2 linked regions of the Xenopus tropicalis genome follow. The main gene of each other region encodes a partner of the protein of the gene in region 2 in a complex. Links are inferred from orthologs where the notes say so. Each region holds a gene or a part of one and is shown on either strand. Other genes may lie near its edges.

The links. The genes of interacting proteins can lie anywhere in the genome.
Region 1: the proteins of gnai2 (region 2) and p2ry12 are in contact, whole or in part, in a cryo-EM structure (PDB 7XXI), measured with the Homo sapiens proteins. The link is inferred for Xenopus tropicalis from reciprocal best matches to the Homo sapiens genes GNAI2 and P2RY12. Residues at the interface, in NP_002061.1 of Homo sapiens: Arg24, Glu28, Ala31, Arg32, Leu195, Glu319, Ile320, Tyr321, Phe335, Phe337, Asp338, Ala339, Thr341, Asp342, Ile344, Ile345, Lys346, Asn348, Leu349, Lys350, Asp351, Cys352, Gly353, Leu354, Phe355; in NP_073625.1 of Homo sapiens: Phe59, Asp121, Arg122, Lys125, Thr126, Pro129, Phe130, Thr132, Asn134, Pro135, Ile212, Leu216, Ser219, Tyr220, Arg222, Thr223, Arg224, Val234, Lys237, Ile241, Leu301, Cys302, Lys303.

Annotation. Positions count from the first base shown.
Region 1 is NC_030681.2:117,990,535-117,994,706, reverse strand, and holds the start of p2ry12 (P2Y purinoceptor 12), read right to left. Parts: upstream 2,801-4,172; 5' UTR 2,716-2,800; intron 1-2,715. UniProt on the Homo sapiens protein: Receptor for ADP and ATP coupled to G-proteins that inhibit the adenylyl cyclase second messenger system. Not activated by UDP and UTP. Required for normal platelet aggregation and blood coagulation.
Region 2 is NC_030680.2:126,955,866-126,959,828, reverse strand, and holds the start of gnai2 (guanine nucleotide-binding protein G(i) subunit alpha-2), read right to left. Parts: upstream 2,801-3,963; 5' UTR 2,600-2,800; coding exon 2,482-2,599; intron 1-2,481. UniProt on the Homo sapiens protein: Guanine nucleotide-binding proteins (G proteins) are involved as modulators or transducers in various transmembrane signaling systems.

The sequences.
Region 1 (4,172 bases), on a different chromosome or scaffold from region 2:
CGTTGGGCTGAACGCTCTTTATCAAGCGTAATGGTAGTTGACCCTAGAGGTGAAGAACACAGTAGGAGTGGGATGGGTGCACTATATTATGCTATAGTAAAAGAGCAGAATTTTTAAGCAAATGGAAATAGTTACTAGTCCTTTTTGCTGCCTCCCCTTGACCTTGCATAAGCGCCCCAGTTTGAACTGAAAATGTAGTAGTTCATGAATAAATGAATTAAGTGGTATAAAGCTTCCTGTGAGTACTCCTTCCCATTACTCAGTTTGCGTTCCCCATCCAATACTTATTTGATTTTGGGTTTAAAAAAATTGAATAGAAATATTAGGTATGTACCATTTGCGTAGAAAACAGACTTTTTTACTGTTGTTATTTGTATGTTATTGTTTTTATATAAAGATAGTAATTTAGAAATGGGAAGACTCTGCCAAACCATGTTTCCGATATAAACGTCTAGGGATAATAGATTTGTATTGACTTAGCAGGATTACCAATATGTAATATATATATGTATAGTATATGCTTTACCCAAAAAGATGACTGTGATAGTAACTTCTTTTTTGACCATTCTCTTCTTGCCCAATACCATGCATCTCCCCAGCCTGCAATTTCTTCCCTCTCCCTATTTTCTTTATTAAAAATTCAATCCATTAGACACAAACTTCTCTTGACAACAGACAGGTTAATTTTTCTTTTACAAATTGTGGTTTATAAACGACAAAACTTGCTGAAATATCTACATTATCCCCATAACCATTATGTTATTTTGATATTATTTAAGCATTACTTTGACACTTTGTTATCCAAAAGCTGGATTGTTTGTTAGTATATCTGAATACATATATCTGAATACAGCTGCCATCCCATCAACAAAGAATTCCGGTGGCTTTCCTGGCCCAAATTATATAATGCAGGGGGCCTAATCATTGCCCTCTCACCCTAAAATGCTGTGAGAATCCATGTAGAAAACTATTCCCAGGTGTATTTCTTCATTTTTTATTCCAGCTTGTGGGGTAAGGTTTGTATCTTGTTTTCCAGTGTAATTTGCCTGTTTCTTATCAGGTCGTGTGGATTATTGAAGGAAATGCTTTTGCAAGCCACATTGTGTGTGTGTATGTATATATATGTGGTTATCTGCTGACTGTTTGTTTTAGAATACACAGCACTACTGCAGGGCCGTGTTTTTTATAGGTAATAATATTAATTTTTATTTCCCCCCCCACAGGCCACTGGATAATTATGAGGTTATCTGGTTGCAGCACTTGGGAGGATCTCTGCCATGGACAAGGGGGCACCAAGGGACACCAATGTGGCACTCATGTCCCTTCTCTTTCTGTATGCAGTAATGAGTAAAGGAACACTACATATAGAAATAGTCACAACTCTTTGGCTATTGTTGCTATGGCCTCAAAACCACAGCCCTTAGAACCCCATAGCCAAAGCACTTGGGCCAGGCACCTGCACAATGAAATCTATGCCCATATCATCTGTGGCGGTTGCTGCAACTGGGCCATGTCCTACCTGCTGTGCAACTGTTTATAAATGTGACACTGGGCATAAAGTATAGCATTTCAAAGCAGCTCAATTTATAGTTAAAGCATATTTAGTTTATTAAATTCATACACAATACAAAAAGCCTTACGCGTTTCATACCAAGAAGGGTACTTAATTTTACTTTGAAGCCTTTTATTTTTCATTATACTTGGTCAGCACAATTAGTGATGGAACATGCAATGGACCATATCCGCCATATTTCTGTGCAAGTGGATTTCAGTATGTAGATATAAAGTAACGTTAAAAATGTAGCCATGGTAAATAGTGTGATAAATTGCACAATTTATAATGGGAGACATAGTAGGGCTCATTTAACGGGCAAATTTGCACCTGGGCAGTAACCCATAGCAACTAATCTGTGATTATATTTTTCAGCCAGCTGCAGGTAGAAAATTGAAAGCAAGCTTTTCATTAGTTGCCATGGGCTACTGCCCAGGTGTAAATTTGCCCAGTGTTTCTAAACAATCACAATGAGTTAGTAGGGTGGGTGAAAATGTGTCTGAATATTAGGTGCTTGTACCAATGTGTGAATTACAGAGGGTGCCCTTTGAGGGGAGAAAAAAAATCTCAAATCTGATATATGACCCTCTAGCTGTTTTTGAAATCCTAGCAACCAATCACAACTTAACCAGGCTTAGTAAACCATATCAACCAGGTGCATGTGAACAGTAAATTCTACTTGTTGACTGGATTACTAAACCTGATGCAGAGTATGCCATTCCTGCTGGGAGAAAACATATGCCCAATGTGAGCAATTCATTTCTCCGGGACACTTTATATTTTTCATGTATTTCTGTAAATATTTCCTGAATCCACATGAATCCACTGAACCCATTAGCAAATACAAGGCCAAACATTTAGTAGTTTGTGCCAGTGGGCAGTGCAGGCAAAAAAACCTCTTACTTGGTTATTATATCCTTCCCTCAAACTAGTCTTAAATTCATGATGTAACAAACAGTCTCCTTCCATGTTGCATGTGGCTAATACAAATATGGTTCTCTGTAGATCAGTGATCCCCAAGCAGTGGCTCGCCACCCCCTTTGATGTTGCTCAGAGCTGTAGCATACAGGAAAGCTAGCAGACATTTTGCTAAGAACCTCTAGTGTATACAGTACATACTTTTTGTGTGAAAAATCACTGATAAACAGATAATGGGTACTTACTCTAAATACTGCTCATCTCCTCCTTCTGCAATATCCTGTGTCAAACTGTTACTTTATGTCTGTGAGATACAGTACCATCCTCATTTATGGTGAGAGCTTACACTTCTTGTTTTGTGCTGTCACATTTCTTTAGTATTGGCTTCATTCTGTAAACAGCACATTCTAGTGAGGTGATGCTTTCCAATTGCTGGAGAGTTCACATTGAGAAATCAGTTCTCTCTAAAATATTTATATGGGTTTAAGAGTATTTACAAGTGTCTAAAGTGATTAATATATTAAGTGCTAATAGATAAATAGCAAACAATGAGCACATAACTACCAAAGGGCACCCTTCCAACTGTGCACTCACTGGGCAATGACTCTTGAAGGCAAGTAAGGACATGGGCCAGGTGAAACAGCTAATAACTTAGCCCTGCATTTATGCCAAATAATAATGCATTATTTTCAACAAACCTCCTTACAAAGTCCCATTGTAATTACAGTAAATGTATTGCCTTAAAATGGGAATCGAATGAAAATATGAAAACACAGCTTAGTGTGTGCACAGAAATGTTTTTTCTGTACTTTGTGTTTATACAATTGTGAATAAGATGCCATACTGTGTTTCGTCTGTTGCATCAATGCATATCCATAGTACATATTTTATACAAAGAATGTTCCATCATTAATGCTAGTTACATGGTGTGAGTATATGATTACACATGTGGAGTTTTTCATTCCAATACTGTATAACTAAACCCCAAAATGCTGTGCACCCTTTACCTCATCCTATCAATAAATAAACTACATGCCACACTCACAAACACCAAGGGGCAGATTTATCAAAATGTGAGTTTAAAGCTTAACACATAAAAACTCCCCCATGTTCTATTTATTCCTATGGGATTTTGTCTGTATGGCATTGTAAGCGTATTTATCAAATGGTCAACTTGAATGTTCTAAATACTCTTCTAAAAATCCCATAGGAATAGATAGAATGTGGGGGAGTTTTTATGTACTAAGTTCTAAACTCACATTTTAATAAATGTGCCCCCAGGTGTCCACAAGCTTTGCTTGCATCCAACATACATTCCATTTCCTACATTAAAGCCTGTCCCAAAACAGAACATCAAAGAATAATTGAAGCTTTTTCCTTTACATATTTATTGCCAATGTATTTGACAATGTACAGCTCTCACAAACAGGACATATGAATGCTGGTGGCACAATTCACACAGCTGTTAAAATGCTTCCCTTTTCTGCTTAATTTTCCACATTCTTCCATTACACAACGTGCCCTTTCTTTATCAGCAAGTTGAAGTCACTTTTGTCCAAAATACTTTTCATGTACTCAAACCCATTAGGGAGAAATTCTTTCACTGATAGCTAGCGCCTATAGGGCTGTACAGTCAGTCGCACCCAAAATCACTTTTATTAAAGGTATTTGCATCAAAATGCATTCCTTGCACCTCTGTAAA
Region 2 (3,963 bases):
TGAAAGAGGAAATGGATGGAAGCGCTTAGTAACCTGTTCACTACTTACAACTTGCATTGTTCTATGAATGCTATTGGAACACCCAAAGCCTCTTTTTCCAAAAAAAAATTGGGGGGGTGGGGTATTTCCTAGTAAAAAAAAAAAATCTTCTAAGAGGTTCTAAGGCCGATTATATATAAGTCTCAATGTATAATTATATTTGTAGTCAGCTACAAACAATACATGTGGCCCAAACCTGTAAAGGGTAACAGTGGGGTTTAAAAAGTGGCCATCGGGAACTAGGGGTAGACAGAAGAAGCATGTGCCTAGGGTGCAACATTGGTGGGGCACAAGAACCTTAGGCACATCTACATTTTCTACCTAGTCCAGGGATCCCCAACCATTTTTACCCGTGACCTAAATTCAAAATGTAAAAAGAGGCTCCTCACCGCTAAAACACAAGCATGAAAAAGGCTTCTCACAGGTAAAACACAAGGACTACGATTGGTTATTCTGTAGCCCCTATGTGGACTGTCAGCCTACAGAACAATCTTTTGGCAGTTGTTATGCAACCAAAAGTTGCCTCAAAGCTAGGAATTACAAAATAAGGACCGTATTTAAGCCCACTAGGAGCAATAGCCAAGGTTGGGGGTCACTGGCCTAGTCCTACCCCCCGTTCTGACCCAGCAAAGTGAATAACTAACTTTTTTTTTTTTTTGGTATTGTCATGCATAATGCAGGGGATACAACCAGAGCTTGTTCCATGCAAGTGGCGGGGTGCAGGGGGTAGCTGGAAAACAGCGACCGGCCTGGAAGTGAGAGCAGGCTGAGTGTTGCAAGTAGTGAGTGCTGGGAGGCGGGAGATTGTGTGTGCGTAAGTGCTGGGACAATTAGTTTTTGCCTATGGTGCAAAAACAATTTGTCCCGGCTCTGGTGGCCATACCCTGGCCAATACACTTTGGTATGGCTACCAATCTAGTCTTGTATTGATTAAGGCCTACAGCATGAACGATTAGAACAGCAGGAAGTGAAAAGGATCTGTGGCTCATCTGCACTTCCTCATCTGCTGATGCATCATGCACAGGCACAGGCAGACATGGTGCCCTGGCACAGAACATTTTCTAACCTGCCCAACTGACAAAGCAACCATTATCTATAGTACGTGGATGTCAGGATGGTTGGGTAAACATACATAAACAGAAAATACCAAATAGTCTGTGTATAGGGGAAATAAACTTAATACGCATAAGCACATTTGTGTGTTGAATACTGGTTCCCCAGTGAGGCCAGATTGGTTCCTGATTAAGTAACACAATTATTGCACCCAGAAAAATGCTGCTTTCCAATTCAAAGGCCAATTGTTGCTCCAGACCCCTCTCTGTGGAAATGCCAGTTCTCCGAGAAAATGACATTATACCCACCTTCCAACCCACACATCTATGTTTACAGGAAATACGGCAGGGGCAGCCATTGGTTGTCAGGGGGTTGCCTGTGGAGGGCCATAGGATGGATTTTCATACATTAGGATAAAACAGGGTGATAGAGGCACCATAAGTGATGTGATAGAGATTATTGAGAAAGGGACCAGGGAACTGTGGCCTTTAGAGCTGCAACTCTCATCAACCCCACTCCACCCAAATGTCGTCAGCTGTCAGTGAATGCTGAGGGTTGCATTTTAACAATGGCTGGAGAACATCCCTGATGTATATAGATAAATATATAACAACTCTAAGTAGCCCCCGAGTTACTGGAGCCAGGGCCCTCTTTGCACTACCATGTCTAATACACACGCAGAGGGCACGCTTGCTTCTACCAGAAACCTACAGAGATGGAAGTGGCTCAAATGATCCAGTAATTACACATATAAGGTGCAGTACTAGGGACCAGCAATATGAGAGCACTATTTAGCACAGTAAGTATGAATTTATATATACGTAGATCCCTGCAGGGCCAGAAATCTATGTGGGGTAGGAAATCACACAAATGTCCCCGCAACATGGTTGTCAGAGGGAGTTGCAGTTCACCAATAGCCGGGGGCTGCAGGCTGGATATGCCTGAGGCTTATAATGAAGATAATTGTTTCATAGCACAATATGCCCTCTGTACTCCTTTCTACATTCTGCGCCCAAGGGTGCCCTGTGATGCTGAAGGTGGAGGGTCCTGGGTACATGTCCTCTCTGCCCTGCCCTAAACCTGATTTGGCTCCCATAGCTCTTACACCCCTAGCCCTTACACCCCTAGCCCTTACACCCCTAGCCCTTACACCCATAGCCCTTACACCCATAGCCCTTACACCCATAGCCCTTACACCCATAGCCCTTACACCCATAGCCCTTACACCCATAGCCCTTACACCCATAGCCCTTACACCCATAGCCCTTACACCCATGTGATGCATGCTATACAGAGGACTGTGCGAGAGTGGCTATATAGAGATAGATATATAGAGATAGATATATAGATTTATAGACAGATGTTTCTAGCCAGTAAGTAGATAGTTACCCAGCAGCAGCAGTTTCACCTCCCTGGCCGCCTTCTCTCCATCCTCCCTCAGGTTTTTATCGATGTTTTTCGATCTCTCCGCTGCTGCTTTGTCTTCTGCGCTCACGGTGCAGCCCATGGCAGCGATATGTCGCGACACAGCCCCAGATAGTGCGTTAGACCGCGACCCACGGCCCCACCCGCCGCTTTTCCCGGGCACCTCCACGGCACAGGCTGCGCTGGAAATGTCCCCAATGTCCCGACTAATGAAGCCCAAGGTGCAGCCCCAGCGCCACAGAGAGAGCGATAGAGATGTAACGCCACTCAGCTCCGCTCTGTGAGGGAAAGGAAAGTGGGACCCGCCCACATTTGCCTCCCATTATCCGTCCCAGAGCCCGCCCGGGGCCTCCCACAGATACACGGGGGAGGGGGTAGCGCTGAGGGGAGGAGAGTTGGGCTCAGGCAGCTGGATAGGGGATTTGCTACAGGGAGTGAGTGCAGTGTTGGCTTGTCCCGGCAGCTGGGATAAACAGAGAGAGCATTTGCCCCCCCCCAATACCTCAGGGTGTAGGGGAACCTGTATAACAATGGTTCTCAACCTTCCTAATGCCAATCCTTTAATACAGTTCCTCATGTTGTGGTGACCCCCAACCATAAAATTGTTTCGTTGCTACTTCATAGCTTACCTCCAATACTGCTGCTTTCAACACAGTAGCTGCTTTTAACAGAGTAGCTGCTTTCTACGCAGTAGCTGCTTTCTACAGGTGTGACTGGCCTGCATAAGCACATTATGGCGCCAACCCTGTCACATACACCTGTATTTGTATGGGGTGTATGTGATGGGGTTGGCGCGATGATTTCATCGTATGTGGGCGGCCCCGCCTGGAGACAGATGGAGGAGCGGTGTCTCGGTTCCCAAGACCATCGGAAATATGTGTTTTCCGATGGTCTTAAGCGACCCCTGTGAAAGGGTCGTTCAACCCCCAAAGGGGTCCTGACCAGGCCCGGATTTGTGGAAAGGCCACAAAGGCCCGGGCCTAGGGCGGCAGAAGTTTAGGGGCGGCATGCCGCCCCGCCGCAAGAAAGTTTTTAAATTTGGCTCCCATACAGAGCAGTTGGGACCTCTCCCCACTGCTCCGTATGGGAGTTTAAAGAAGCGTTTGCGCATGCGCACTGGGGGCCGCGTTCGCGCATGCGCAGAGGGGGACAGCCACAGGGGCGGCCTCGGGGCGCCTCACAGAGAAATCCGGCCCTGGTCCTGACCCACAGGTTGAGAACTGCTGGTGTAGGGGAGCCTGTATAACAACTGTAAATGATTTTACTGTGTGAGAGTGTCCCTTCCTTGAATGTAGAATTACTACCCCTGTGAACACTGGTCTGCCTGTATTTGGCAACGCTGTATTCATGAGAGGCCTTCCACCCCTTGTCCATGCTGCTCTCTGCCTCTCTGCCTGTGGTGGGGCAGGTGCAGACAGGCCCGGATTTGTGACGAGGCCACAAAGC